2 linked regions of the Saccharomyces cerevisiae S288C genome follow. The protein of the gene in region 1 purifies or fractionates together with the protein of each later gene. This does not show direct contact. Each region holds a gene or a part of one and is shown on either strand. Other genes may lie near its edges.

Region 1 (11,368 bases):
AAAGGCGAATCGTTCAAAAGAGGCAGTTCACTTTTCCCCACAGGAATTTGAGATATGGTGTCAGTATTGAATACATCTATTAGTAACTCAGGAACAGCATCTCCGCCAACCCATAAAAATAATTCTGCGGAATTGTCAATTAAATACAGGCCATATCTTTCGAAAAGAGATATAGTGGCATTTATAGGTTCAGGAAGAACCGTTTTTCCTTCAAAGTCAGGTAGACCGACTTCGTCGGGCATGTCGTGCAGGGAGTAAACTGTAGGGTAAATGCTCTTTATCAAATAATGAAGAGGCTCCGTTTCCAATCTATTCAACGCACTTGCACGGTAATCGCTTGGAACAACGCCCGGTCTGAGGGCTATATGTTTACTTAGTCCATTCATTAATAGAGGTAACATTCTCAAATTTGCGCATAGGTTAAGTGAGGTTACTGAATTTATATTAGACATCGAAATTTCTTTTTTGTAGGCATTTAAAATATCTTCGAGCGATTTTGTGATAAAATCCCTCGCAGAGTACATGCTTGAATTCAAAGCCTTAGTCACCGCGTTTTGTGTCATGAAATCAGTAATGGCTAGTTGATCTGCGGATGCAAACACTTCCCTAGCTGATTCGGACGTTGGTAGAGCTAACGTCATGACTCTAATTCTACGTTCACCAGTGTTTAGAGTCAACAATGTTGACACTTGCAAGTAGCAATATTCTGCCATTAATGAGTCTTCGATGGATATCCCGAAAAGATAAGACTGATCTCTAGGCATTGTGGAAAAAGCGCATAAATCAGAGGATCTGTTAAAAAAATGGCCAAAAAACGATGTGGCCCTCAAGCCAGTAGAACAACGAACTCTCATAACAGCTTCCATTGAAATATCCATGGATAAATGCCTTGATAATTCCCTAGTAAACTTAGTAACATCGTTCAAACTGGTGGCATTAAAACCAGGATAAAAATGTGTTTGACCACCAGAAAAACGGCCCAGGTGAGATAGAGTGGCAACGTCCATGTAGTCCTCTGATGCCAGAAACATGTCCACTGTTATTTGTAGTTTATTACACTCAATTGTGAATGTTTTATAAAAGGAATCTTTACACGACAGTAGCTGAGAGCTTTCTTTTGGTGTGTTTAATATGCCCTGTTCACTTCTTTTTTTCAATTTCCCGATGCCAGTATTTGGTAAAGTTGATGAAATGACTTCAACTTTGCCTCCAGTGCTTTTTATCAAATTTGACGCAGCTTTTAGGGCAGGTCCAAGTGCAAACTTGCTACTGTGTGTGTCTTGAAAAATTTCAGGTATCTTTTTCAACAATGTTTCCAGATTATTTTTACAATATTTTAGTGGAACTACTAATTCATCACTCGGCATTGGTAAAAATGGTTCATCCAAATCGCCAATATCAAACATTTGAATTGTTTCTGAATTATCAACGTCTTCCTCTTCCTCGTCTTCATCTTCTTCTTCACCATCTGATTCTTCATCATCCTCATCCGATACTTCATAATCATCATCCAAAGGAACGTAAAAATAATGAAGGCTATGATCAACACATATAATAGCAATTCTGGTCCTTCCATCATGATTTGGTAGAAATTCTATGTTTTCTAAAATGGTTCTGGCAGAAGTAGCCAATAAACCATTTTTGACAGCGTTTTGAGAAACATCTAAAAGAAATACATAAACAGATGGTGGGGGTTCCCTAACAGAATATTCTACGGGAGCCAAGTAATCCACGACAGAGTTTTTAATTTCGTTTCTTTCATATCTGTTGATTGGAGCGCCTTGTAAGTTCTGATCAAACCCAAATGGGACATCATTTTTGAAACGGCATATATTACATTGCCATTTTCTCCCTTGGTTAATGAAAACGACAAAAGGGTTCATATATGAACGACAACGGCGACAGCGGACAATGACTCCGTCAGTATTTAGCGGTACTTGGTTGTCTGAATCTTGCAAATGCAAATATGGTCTAATAACAATGGCAAATGGTAACTTCGTTTTCTTCAGCAGAGAGTTTGTTTTTGGCACCGCTTTCAAAGTAGATCTGACGTACTGGTATGGAACATTTGAATATTCGGATGGAGTCACAATGTTATCCTGAGAAATGGTGATTGGAAGAGGTGGTAAAGACAGGTCACGGATTGGCGGAGGTAATTCTGTAAACAAATCCACAGGGTATAGTTGATTGACCACTTTCCCAGAACCAGGAAACTGTTGATTTTGAGCTAGCTGTGTAAATGAGTTAGCCCTATTGTTCAATTGTAGGTTGCCCATTGCATAAGCTGTTTGGTCGATTTGTTGTTGAGACTGCTGTTGCTCTGCAACTATTGGCATACTTGCAATGTATGGCACCTGAGCTTGAGGGTACACCCTCTTCTTATGATGAGACATTATTCACTGCAGCTGTCGATCATTAATGGAAGAAGGTTCATCAACCAAGCACACTGCAAATGAAGGGTTAGATGAAGAGTTCGACGAAGACCCTTTTAACTGACGTATCATTCATCGTTGTCATCGCTACATCTATGTCCTTCGGGTAAGCTAAACAAAAAGTGAAAAGTTCAATAAATAATAAGATTGAGAGGTAAGTGAAGTGAAGATAGATGTTAGTATCCAAGTGTGACCAACATGTTCAGGTGATTGCAGGCGAAAATGGGCAGTGCTTGGACAAACTACAATTTTGAAGAGGTTAAGTCTCATTTTGGGTTCAAAAAATATGTTGTATCATCTTTAGTACTAGTGTATGGACTAATTAAGGTTCTCACGTGGATCTTCCGTCAATGGGTGTATTCCAGCTTGAATCCGTTCTCCAAAAAATCTTCATTACTGAACAGAGCAGTTGCCTCCTGTGGTGAGAAGAATGTGAAAGTTTTTGGTTTTTTTCATCCGTATTGTAATGCTGGTGGTGGTGGGGAAAAAGTGCTCTGGAAAGCTGTAGATATCACTTTGAGAAAAGATGCTAAGAACGTTATTGTCATTTATTCAGGGGATTTTGTGAATGGAGAGAATGTTACTCCGGAGAATATTCTAAATAATGTGAAAGCGAAGTTCGATTACGACTTGGATTCGGATAGAATATTTTTCATTTCATTGAAGCTAAGATACTTGGTGGATTCTTCAACATGGAAGCATTTCACGTTGATTGGACAAGCAATTGGATCAATGATTCTCGCATTTGAATCCATTATTCAGTGTCCACCTGATATATGGATTGATACAATGGGGTACCCTTTCAGCTATCCTATTATTGCTAGGTTTTTGAGGAGAATTCCTATCGTCACATATACGCATTATCCGATAATGTCAAAAGACATGTTAAATAAGCTGTTCAAAATGCCCAAGAAGGGTATCAAAGTTTACGGTAAAATATTATACTGGAAAGTTTTTATGTTAATTTATCAATCCATTGGTTCTAAAATTGATATTGTAATCACAAACTCAACATGGACAAATAACCACATAAAGCAAATTTGGCAATCCAATACGTGTAAAATTATATATCCTCCATGCTCTACTGAGAAATTAGTAGATTGGAAGCAAAAGTTTGGTACTGCAAAGGGTGAGAGATTAAATCAAGCAATTGTGTTGGCACAATTTCGTCCTGAGAAACGTCATAAGTTAATCATTGAGTCCTTTGCAACTTTCTTGAAAAATTTACCGGATTCTGTATCGCCAATTAAATTGATAATGGCGGGGTCCACTAGATCCAAGCAAGATGAAAATTATGTTAAAAGTTTACAAGACTGGTCAGAAAATGTATTAAAAATTCCTAAACATTTGATATCATTCGAAAAAAATCTGCCCTTCGATAAGATTGAAATATTACTAAACAAATCTACTTTCGGTGTTAATGCCATGTGGAATGAGCACTTTGGAATTGCAGTTGTAGAGTATATGGCTTCCGGTTTGATCCCCATAGTTCATGCCTCGGCGGGCCCATTGTTAGATATAGTTACTCCATGGGATGCCAACGGGAATATCGGAAAAGCTCCACCACAATGGGAGTTACAAAAGAAATATTTTGCAAAACTCGAAGATGATGGTGAAACTACTGGATTTTTCTTTAAAGAGCCGAGTGATCCTGATTATAACACAACCAAAGATCCTCTGAGATACCCTAATTTGTCCGACCTTTTCTTACAAATTACGAAACTGGACTATGACTGCCTAAGGGTGATGGGCGCAAGAAACCAGCAGTATTCATTGTATAAATTCTCTGATTTGAAGTTTGATAAAGATTGGGAAAACTTTGTACTGAATCCTATTTGTAAATTATTAGAAGAGGAGGAAAGGGGCTGATGTTTTTTGAAAATAGAAGCCTTGTTTATGAGAAAACTTATACATAATATTACATACAAACTAGAGCATTACTATATAATTAACTTACTTGTCACAGCTGATTGCTTTTTCTAGGGGAATCTACATTTTCAATGTAAAATTCAGGAACCCTATTCTGAATTTGTGAATCATTCGTTTCCGGTATCGATGACGTGGTGTTAGTGATTGTCAAATTGTCTAATTTTGGAATGGAATTCAAGGGAAAATTGCTACTACTCACATCATCGTATCTCGTATGTTGCTCATTAGTTACCTGGGGGGTCACGCTCTCCGTGGTGTTTTCATTACTCTTGGCTTTTTCTTTAGACAGTTTGGCAACTTTACTCACATATTTGCATTTGTCGTCATAGTTGGGCAAACTTGATAAGGCTTTGATATTTCCAAACCATTCTATCATATCGTCATAAGAGTCTACTTTGAATACCCAGTTGTGACCCCTATGTATTAGTCCGTTAGAATTCGTACGCAATATAAACTTGTTCTTGCCCTGCTCTGAGTTGGATTTCGTCTTTTTGGAATGCTCAGTGACAGTACATTCCACTAATGGTATTGACATTAACGGTGTGGAAAATTTATGCTTATCTGGTGTCTTAAATTCATGTAAAAAGCTTGGAGTGAGGACATAAAACCCACGTGAGTATGACTTTAAAAATTTTGATCTTTTCTCCAGAAACCCAGATTTAACTTCAAAAGTAAAAGGATCGTTTTGATTGCTATACGAGATCTCTTTAAACCTCCTCATGGGTAAATTTGGAGGCACAAAATTGGAAATATTCCTTAGAATGAAACTATCCCATTCAAGATTCGTGTTTTTGTTCAGTATCGTGGAATCTAATTTAGAGATAACTGAGTCAAATACAACTTGGGCTTCTTTGCCAAGAATTCTAGCGTAGCTGGTCAATCCGTTCTGTATTTCCATTACAATAACACTTTCTAACTGGGCCCCTGAATTCTGCAAGTTATCGAATGCCTCGTGCAAATAATTTTCTTCCACCAACTGTCTTTTGATTTGCTTTTCCAATTGCAATTTTATCAAAAATGGGTCACTCTTTGGTGTACCTAATTTACATTCTTTTAATGATTCATTAAAAAGCTTCATCAAGTGTTTAGTTTGCTGAAGCTCTTTGTTACAGGAATTTTTAAAATCAGATTGCAAAGCCTTAATTTCTTTAATCTTGACTAGTAAATCTCTTCTCAAATCCTCTAGCCTGGGTATAATTTCACTGGTCAACTCCTTGGAACTTTTCGATGCCAAAGAGGCCAGATTATCATGATACTTGGTCAGCATCGTGGGCAAATCTTGAACGGATCCACTTCCTAAGGGCAGAAAAAATTTCTGCATGGACTTGTCTTCATTAGAGACCGGTTGATATTGGTTTTCAATGCTGAAAAAGGGGAACTGCACAGCATGGGACAACCTCAGTTGCTGTCTAACTATTTCGTCCTGTATTGAGGCGGTCTCAGAGAGATATACCAAGATGGCACGAATAACATTTCTCCAGGCAGAAAACCTAGCAGACAAGACATCAGTGGGCTGCGCAGAAGTCGGTATCAGTATCGCCAGAGGGGACCTAGGATCGTTTTGGTTAGAATCATACTGCTTCTGGTGGCTATGTAAAGACATTTTTGGCAGCGTTAGCATGGAAGGGTCAGTGAAGGAACCAACATTATTGATATTGTTATTATTAATATTATTATTTTGTGATGATGGAATATTATTAGAGTTCAAAGAGTGCGTCGTATTGGTGCCAGCCGCAGCATCGACTATCGAATTTTGCCGATCGTGATCATATACGTTCAACTGAGCCGGGATAGTGGGATCGGAAGTCACAGCGTCGATAGGGTAAGGTATAGGATTGCGTTGCGCAAGCGACGAGGGTAGTGACAGGGGTATGTTCTGGCCTTTTTGTTGCTGCTGTTGATAGGCGGGATTAAAATGTTCTGACCTCATTCTGCCTTCCAGTTGTTGATATTGACTTCTGAGGTCAAGAGAGGCTCTTGCACTGTTCCGTTGGTAAGACATGGTGCAATGGACGGCTGGGTAAAGCGTATAACGCTCTCCTAAACCTTTGCTTGCGCGGTCATCTTCTCATGTAGTAGGTTGCATCGCCTTTTGATTAAAGAATGCGGCATGACCCGGAAAAAAGAGGCAGGTATTGGCTAATGACTACTACCATTATGAGTTTTTACCAGTATCAGCGCCATCATTAGGAGGATATATTAGCATTGGTGGACGTAAGAGCTCCTAAATATACAAGCATCGCCGTGATGTGTTATATATTGCAGCTTTATCTTGCTGGAGTGTCTACCGTATTTACTTCTACTTTTGGCATTTTTTTCGCCAATGCTGGCTCGAACAAGAAACTGCCTGCCATTTGAATTATTCATATATAAATACACTAATCATACGTGAGCATAGTGTGACAATTTCGGCGCAAGATATTAATGGAGCACGTATCAAAGAGGTCAATTGGGCAATTCTTTAAGAGGAAAACTTCAACTGTAGATGGAAGCAAATCACAGAAATGCGGAACCACTAACCAACTGCGGAAGCTGCTGCATAAAAGAAGGGTACAGAAGCAGGCAGTGCCGGTTGAATCCCAGTACAGAATTCCGGGTGATTTTAGGGATAATCAAAGCGTGAGAGTCAAAAACTCTATGTACAACAGCTCACCGTCAGTAACGCCATCTACGCATCATATCAATGAAAGGTATGTTCGCTATGACATCAACACAAGGCCTTTGGTTGTTGTGCTCGCGATCTCAATTGTATTTTTTGGCTGTCTCCTGGTCCTCAAGGACATCATCATCCAGTCATCAGAAAACATCCTGAGTGTTTCCAAATGGAAAATCATAGGGGCCTCCTTCATGGGTACGCCCTACACAGGTCTTCTCACGGGGCTCGTTGGCCCTCTCCTGTCACCATTTTCGGCTGTTTCGTCGTGGCTTTCATTCATCTTTTGACACAATGCGTCTTCAGTTTCCGGGGGCATTGCGTATGGAAAATCATGTCACTTTTTTTCTTCCACTTTTTCGTTTGACTTATATAAACGCACTTTAGTATAGTTTGCTTTATGTATTAGGTTATCTTGGTGTTCTAATTGATGTTCTTGCTTCCATTTGTCATTCGTCATTCCAGCTCTATTTACCTGCCCACGCTTCGATTTCGAGGTTTACTTACTGTAATCTCAAGAAACATACACATTTCCACCCCTCATAAAATGTTGCCTCTTTCAATTGAGCAGAGAAGACCTTCCCGCTCCCCCGAATACGATCAGTCTACTTTATCAAATTATAAGGACTTCGCAGTTCTTCACACCGATTTAAACCTGTCTGTTTCCTTCGAAAAGTCAGCCATTTCAGGGAGCGTTACATTCCAATTGAAAAAACTGCACGAAGGTAAAAATAAATCGGATGAATTACATCTGGATACATCCTATTTGGATGTCCAGGAGGTTCATATTGATGGTTCCAAGGCAGATTTTCAAATTGAGCAAAGAAAGGAGCCATTGGGCTCCAGGTTAGTCATCAATAACGCTTCTTGCAACGATAACTTTACCTTGAATATTCAATTTCGTACGACTGACAAGTGCACCGCTTTGCAATGGTTGAACAGCAAGCAAACCAAGGGCGGTAAACCGTACGTGTTTTCACAGTTGGAAGCTATTCATGCGAGGTCTTTGTTCCCCTGCTTTGATACTCCCTCTGTGAAGTCTACTTTCACTGCATCTATCGAGTCCCCACTACCAGTGGTTTTTTCAGGCATCAGGATTGAAGATACAAGCAAGGATACTAATATTTACAGATTTGAACAGAAAGTCCCTATCCCAGCCTACCTGATCGGTATTGCTTCCGGTGATTTGTCAAGCGCTCCAATTGGACCTCGTTCCACAGTTTACACTGAACCATTTCGTTTGAAAGATTGTCAATGGGAATTTGAAAACGATGTAGAGAAATTCATTCAAACTGCAGAGAAAATTATCTTTGAATACGAGTGGGGCACTTATGATATCTTAGTTAACGTCGATTCGTACCCTTACGGCGGTATGGAGTCTCCGAATATGACTTTTGCTACGCCCACCTTGATTGCACATGACAGATCCAACATTGATGTCATCGCCCATGAACTTGCTCACTCATGGTCTGGTAACTTAGTGACCAATTGTTCGTGGAATCATTTTTGGTTGAATGAAGGTTGGACCGTTTACTTAGAAAGAAGAATTATTGGTGCCATTCATGGCGAACCAACTAGACATTTCAGTGCTCTGATTGGTTGGAGCGATTTGCAGAATTCTATTGATTCTATGAAAGATCCTGAAAGATTTTCCACTTTGGTACAAAACTTGAACGATAACACTGACCCTGACGATGCCTTTTCCACTGTTCCGTACGAAAAGGGGTTCAACTTACTATTTCACTTGGAAACTATTTTGGGTGGTAAGGCTGAATTTGATCCATTTATTAGACACTATTTCAAGAAGTTTGCCAAAAAATCATTGGATACTTTCCAGTTTTTGGATACTTTGTATGAGTTCTATCCCGAAAAGAAAGAAATTTTGGATTCCGTTGACTGGGAAACTTGGCTGTATAAACCAGGTATGCCACCAAGGCCTCATTTTATTACGGCTTTGGCTGATAATGTTTATCAATTGGCTGACAAGTGGGTCGAAATGGCTCAACATTTGAAAACCACAGAGGATTTCCGGTCTGAATTTAACGCTATTGACATTAAGGATTTTAATTCAAATCAATTGGTTTTGTTCTTGGAAACTTTGACACAAAATGGCCATTCCAACAAGAAACCAAAAGATTTTGACTGGGCCAAGTTTCCCGTGGCATCTAGGGCACTGTTAGATATCTATCAAGATAACATTGTTAAATCACAGAACGCGGAAGTTGTTTTCAAGATGTTCAAATTTCAGATCTTTGCCAAGCTGCAAGAAGAATATAAGCATTTGGCCGATTGGTTGGGAACTGTAGGTAGAATGAAGTTTGTCCGTCCCGGTTACAGACTATTAAACTCTGTAGACCGTCGATTGGCACTTGCAACTTTCGACAAATTCAAGGACACGTATCATCCAATCTGTAAAGCTCTTGTGAAACAAGATTTAGGTCTTTGAAAAGGGACGTGTCGTAACATGAATACGTAAACAATTAAATATAACCTACTAATGAGCCTTCATTGCTACTTCTCTGGTTCTAATTAGTGGCGGAGTTCTGTGTCGTGCGATACGAATTTTGCACTTTTGTCACATGCAATCGAGGCAAAAAGAAAAAATAAATAATAACAACGAATATAAATACAAATCGAAAGAATTCAGATTGAATTCAATATTGCAGGGCTTTGAACACTGAGTTTGGAACTATCAGCCGTCAAATACGCATAAAATAACATCAAATACTCCAATAATGAATCAGTTAGGAGCTTTAGCCGTAAGTTCTAAATTGTAAACACATTTGCATCATTGAAAAACTATACTAACGCGTTAACCTTTTTTCTATATTTCTATAGCAAGTTTCACGTTTCACTCAAAACTTCTCCATGGAAAATATTAAGAGCGAGTTCCAATCCTTGCAATCTAAATTAGCAACCCTTCGCACCCCGCAAGAATTTTTCAATTTCAAGAAAATTTCCAAACCTCAAAACTTTGGGGAAGTTCAATCCAGAGTGGCGTATAACCTGAAGTACTTTTCCAGTAACTATGGTTTGATTATTGGTTGTTTGAGCATTTACACATTATTAACAAACTTGTTGCTACTCTTTGTTATTGTTCTAGTCGTAGCTGGTATTGTTGGTATAAACAAACTAAAGGGTGAGGAGCTCGTAACTCCATTTGGTTCTTTCAAGACCAACCAACTATACACCGGACTGGTTTGTGTTGCTGTGCCAATAGGTTTCTTAGCTTCGCCAATCTCAACTTTGCTATGGTTGATCGGTGCTTCTGCCGTCAGCGTTTTCGGACATGCATCATTGATGGAAAAACCCATCGAAACTGTATTTGATGAAGAAACTGTTTGAACACTCCTACAAGTGTTGGGAAAAGGAGTCATTCTTTTCTATTGTGTATTTTACTCTTCTTCAATATTTAGTTAATTCTTGTCTTTTATTCTCTTTCTCCGTCAACATTAGTATTTAATTGTATACAGACACCATTCATAATTGCAGTTAGCTTCTCTGTTCTTTCTCATTCCTAGGATTTACAATGCAGTCTTACCTTATTTGTTTATGTTTTTTTCGTTTATCAAGCGTGCAATCAATTACTGAAGATTCACGTGCCAAAACGTAAAAATAATAATAACATAACCCGAGAGAGGCAAGATTAGAATCAATTCATCTTTTCAAACAAATGGTTATATCGACTAAGCGAAGTGATTAGATGGTGTACGTCGCAGATATTCAACAGTGACGAATTATATGCGATTGTAAGATTGATTGGCAAATCGTATTCCATTACTACTATTAACAACTGATGGCATCTAGAAGGTAAAAAGGGTCAACGTAGATGAGGTAGAGTTTGAGCTTAGGGCCCTGCCGAGTTTTCATTAGAAGACCTCTACTACACTTCAAAATGAAATACCCCTGCATCACCAGATTCATCAACCTAAACGTACAAGACGTATGAAACACGTATGAAACAGTTGTTGCGAAAAAAACAAGATTAAGTATTTTCAAAGCCCCGGTTGCCTTGATGAACCTAAACGTATAAATAGTTGAGCAATCAGTTTAGCTCCGAAGATCTATGCTTCCACCCTTTAGTCAGATTTAGATCCTATATAGATTATATGGGATAAGTAACATTCCGTCAATCAAGCTGCTCTTCTGACAGGTATTAATATTGTTAAGACGGCTAGTATTGACTAACTTCATGACACAACCACTGTTGTATCTCAAAATGAGATATGTCAGTATGACAATACGTCACCCTGAACGTTCATAAAACACATATGAAACAACCTTATAACAAAACGAACAACATGAGACAAAACCCGACCTTCCCTAGCTGAACTACCCAAAGTATAAATGCCTG
Region 2 (3,629 bases), on another chromosome or scaffold:
CTTGGCATAATGTGCATCCTTGTCTGCTTTCGGAATCTTCGCCTTTTCTTCTAGTGCGCGGATAGTCTTTGGATTAATCCTTGGATGATTATTGGTGCCCAGCTTTTGCAAACGGTTTTTATACCAGTCGATCAAAGTTTTGTCCACGGGGAACAAACCAGAAAGAGCCCCCCACTCGGTGGTCATGTTAGCAATAGTGAGTCTGTGATCGATAGGCAATGCATTCAAAGAGTCACCCGTGAATTCAATGGCGTGATTTAGAACTTGATCATTGTTGAAAAGCCCACATAATGCGACAATGATATCTTTTCCGGAAACACCCTGAGGCAATTGACCTTTCAACTCAACCTGAGCCACTGGTGGGATCTGCCACCACGTCTGTCCCGTGGCCCATATGGCTGCAGCGTCTGTTCTCACTATTGGAGTGCCCAGCGACCCCAGACCACCGTAGGTGTTTGAATGCGAGTCAGATGCGACAGTCATGTTCAAGGGGAAAGCATAGCCCTCCTCAATCATAATTTGATGACCAATACCTCTACCGGCAGGGTAGTGGTCTATATGGTGTTTCTTAGCAAAATTTTCGATGTTCTTGTACTTGGTCAAATTTTTCTCTGATTTGTTCTGAATATCGTGGTCCAGAGTGGTCACAATCTGTGAAGGATTCTTGATCTTGGTAGCGCCAAGCCCCATGAATTTCAAAGCTACAGGCCACGAATTATCGTGGGACATACAGTGTGCCGGCTTGATCGATACATAGTCACCAGAATGCACAACTTTACCCTCGGGAAGGTTGACCGCATACGACTGAACAATTTTTTCAGTTAGGTTCTGACCTTTCAACCAGGCCCTAGAACTGTGGAACGAACGAGTAAATGTGGTTGATCGTAGCATCTTGAAGCGATACAATTTTGTTTCCTTGCAAGTTCTATTTTATTGAAAAAGTGATATTGTCTACTATAAGAGGCAGCGCAAAACTAGCTATTGCACACACAAACACACGAGGATTCTTTTGTATATATAAATACCTATGGGGATATATATATATATATATATATGTGCGTGTCTGTACGTGTGTGTGGACATGAGATTGTGTATACCTGTGTATGTTGGTGATATTTGCTGCCTCTGGTATAGACTCATCGATTACAAAATTTCAGTCATCTCGAGCAAAATCCCGGGGGAAAAAACAATAAAAATTTTTTTTTTCCAAATCGCTCCATTCTGCTCACTTGACACGAAATTGTTTATCACTTGATACGTGTACATTTTACCGGGTTTGCGGTAATTTCGCACGAACAAGCAGTGAAAAAAGTCATAGGAAAATTTTTCACCGTAGCAGCCAACGCAGTTGCGTTTTTTCCAGTTTTTCCAACACCAGAGGACAGCTTTGGCTATTCTTTTCGGTGTTTGGTGCTGTTGTATCGCTGGCTTGTGGTATCTTCTGTTTCCTATTTAAAGTTGGTCAGTGCCCCCTTTCCAGTGGGCTTCTCCCCTGTGTGGGCTGTTTCTCTTCTATGGCACTTCAACTTCGCATTTTTCAAATTTTTATTCAACAATTCCCTTTTCTTGATCTCTTTCTTTTCAACTCTCAAGCCAAATATTTAATTGTTTCTTCCTACCCGCAAGCGTATATATATATAATATATATTCACACACGCAAATATGTCCGCCTCAGCTCAACATAGCCAAGCCCAACAACAACAACAACAAAAAAGCTGTAATTGCGATTTGCTATTATGGAGGAACCCTGTTCAAACCGGTAAATATTTCGGTGGGTCTCTGTTAGCCTTGTTAATTTTGAAAAAAGTTAACTTGATCACTTTCTTTTTGAAGGTTGCCTACACTATCTTATTCACAACAGGATCTATTGAATTCGTATCCAAGCTCTTTTTGGGACAAGGTTTAATCACCAAGTATGGTCCTAAAGAATGTCCAAATATCGCCGGCTTTATTAAGCCTCATATCGATGAAGCTTTGAAACAGCTACCAGTCTTCCAAGCCCACATAAGAAAGACTGTATTCGCTCAAGTCCCTAAGCACACTTTCAAGACCGCTGTTGCCTTATTTCTACTACACAAATTCTTCTCCTGGTTCTCTATCTGGACCATCGTCTTTGTTGCTGACATTTTTACCTTCACTTTGCCAGTTATCTACCATTCCTACAAGCATGAAATTGATGCTACTGTCGCTCAAGGTGTAGAAATTTCTAAGCAAAAGACCCAAGAGTTTTCTCAAATGGCTTGCGAAAAGACAAAACCATACTTGGACAAGGTTGAATCTAAATTGGGCCCAATTTCCAACTTGGTCAAATCTAAGACTGCTCCTGTGTCTTCTACTGCCGGTCCTCAAACCGCCAGCACTTCTAAGTTGGCCGCTGATGTTCCATTGGAACCAGAGTCTAAGGCTTACACATCTTCAGCTCAAGTTATGCCAGAAGTTCCACAACACGAACCTTCCACTACCCAAGAATTTAACGTCGATGAATTGTCTAATGAATTGAAGAAAAGTACAAAAAACTTGCAAAATGAATTGGAAAAAAACAACGCTTGAGTGCTTTTTTTTTTTCATTTCAAACAAGAATAGCTAACTTTTGTCTCTTTATTTACCACTACATATTACATTAGCCTATATATACTCATACGTTTCTCTCTCTTTACTTTCTGTACCCCCGAGGAAAAATACATAAATTATTTTTGAACTTTCCCTGCTTTTTTACCAACATTGCTACAGTTTAACCATTGCAGTTAAAAGTGCTCATCGTGTTAGTTAAATAAATAAATAATTAAGAGAAATAATAATAAAGTATCATACATAAATAAGAATAAAAAAAAAAAATGAAAAAAAAAAACTGTTAATTTTTTTTTTTACTGATTTACAAATTCCTTGTACCTCTATCTCAGCCCATGCATATATTGGTTGTTTTACTGCTTGATACCACTAGAAACCTCTAGTTGTTTAACGATGGGGTCTCTAACATTAGGGTTCAAGTCGTCATTAGTTAAAGATAGTTGGCTTGATGTCCATAAGTTAGACTCTTCCACAAATCCGCTCTCTCCAACACCCAATAAGCCACCTTGGCTTTCCCAGTCTCTGACACGTGGTAACTGTAGCTCATTGAACACATCATCAACTGCATTGATTAAGATGTCAGATAAATCGTTGGTGTGACCTGGCGTTGGGGTAATTCTCAATCTTTCGGTACCGCGAGCAACCGTAGGGAAGTTGATAGCTTGTACGTAGATTTGATGCTTATTGATTAAGATGTCAGAAGCTTGCTTAGCCAAATCAGCATTACCAATCAACACTGGGACGATATGAGAAGGATTTGGAATAACTGGAATGCCCAACTCATGGAAAGCTTTCTTTACGTACATGGTATGTTTCTGTTGCGAGGTTCTTAGGTCGATGTGGCAACGTTGGTATCTAATTGCTGCGGTAGCGCCTGCCATAACTGAAGGTGGTAAAGTCGTGGTGAAAATGAAACCAGGTGCAAACGATCTGAACCAATCGATCAATTTCCTAGAGGCTGCGACGTAGCCACCTACGCTACCGAAAGACTTACCTAAAGTGCCGGTGATCATGTCGACACGGTCCATCACAGTCTTCGCGCCGCCCTTGTCATTGGTCTT

Evidence for each region. The genes of interacting proteins can lie anywhere in the genome.
Region 2: the proteins of YIP3 (region 1) and RTN1 purify together in Saccharomyces cerevisiae (affinity purification with western blotting; 2 studies listed by BioGRID, with this or other methods). This does not show direct contact.

Annotation. Positions count from the first base shown.
Region 1 is NC_001146.8:535,519-546,886, forward strand, and holds YIP3 (Yip3p), read left to right. Parts: upstream 1-9,749; coding exon 9,750-9,773; intron 9,774-9,852; coding exon 9,853-10,359; downstream 10,360-11,368. Other genes in the region: COPII subunit SFB2, read right to left, coding at 1-2,393; alpha-1,2-mannosyltransferase ALG11, read left to right, coding at 2,655-4,301; SLM2 (phosphatidylinositol 4,5-bisphosphate-binding protein), read right to left, coding at 4,393-6,363; YNL046W (uncharacterized protein), read left to right, coding at 6,786-7,304; LAP2 (bifunctional aminopeptidase/epoxide hydrolase), read left to right, coding at 7,445-9,460.
Region 2 is NC_001136.10:928,391-932,019, reverse strand, and holds RTN1 (Rtn1p), read left to right. Parts: upstream 1-1,662; coding exon 1,663-2,550; downstream 2,551-3,629. Other genes in the region: homoaconitate hydratase LYS4, read right to left, coding at 1-891; HEM1 (5-aminolevulinate synthase), read right to left, coding at 2,922-3,629.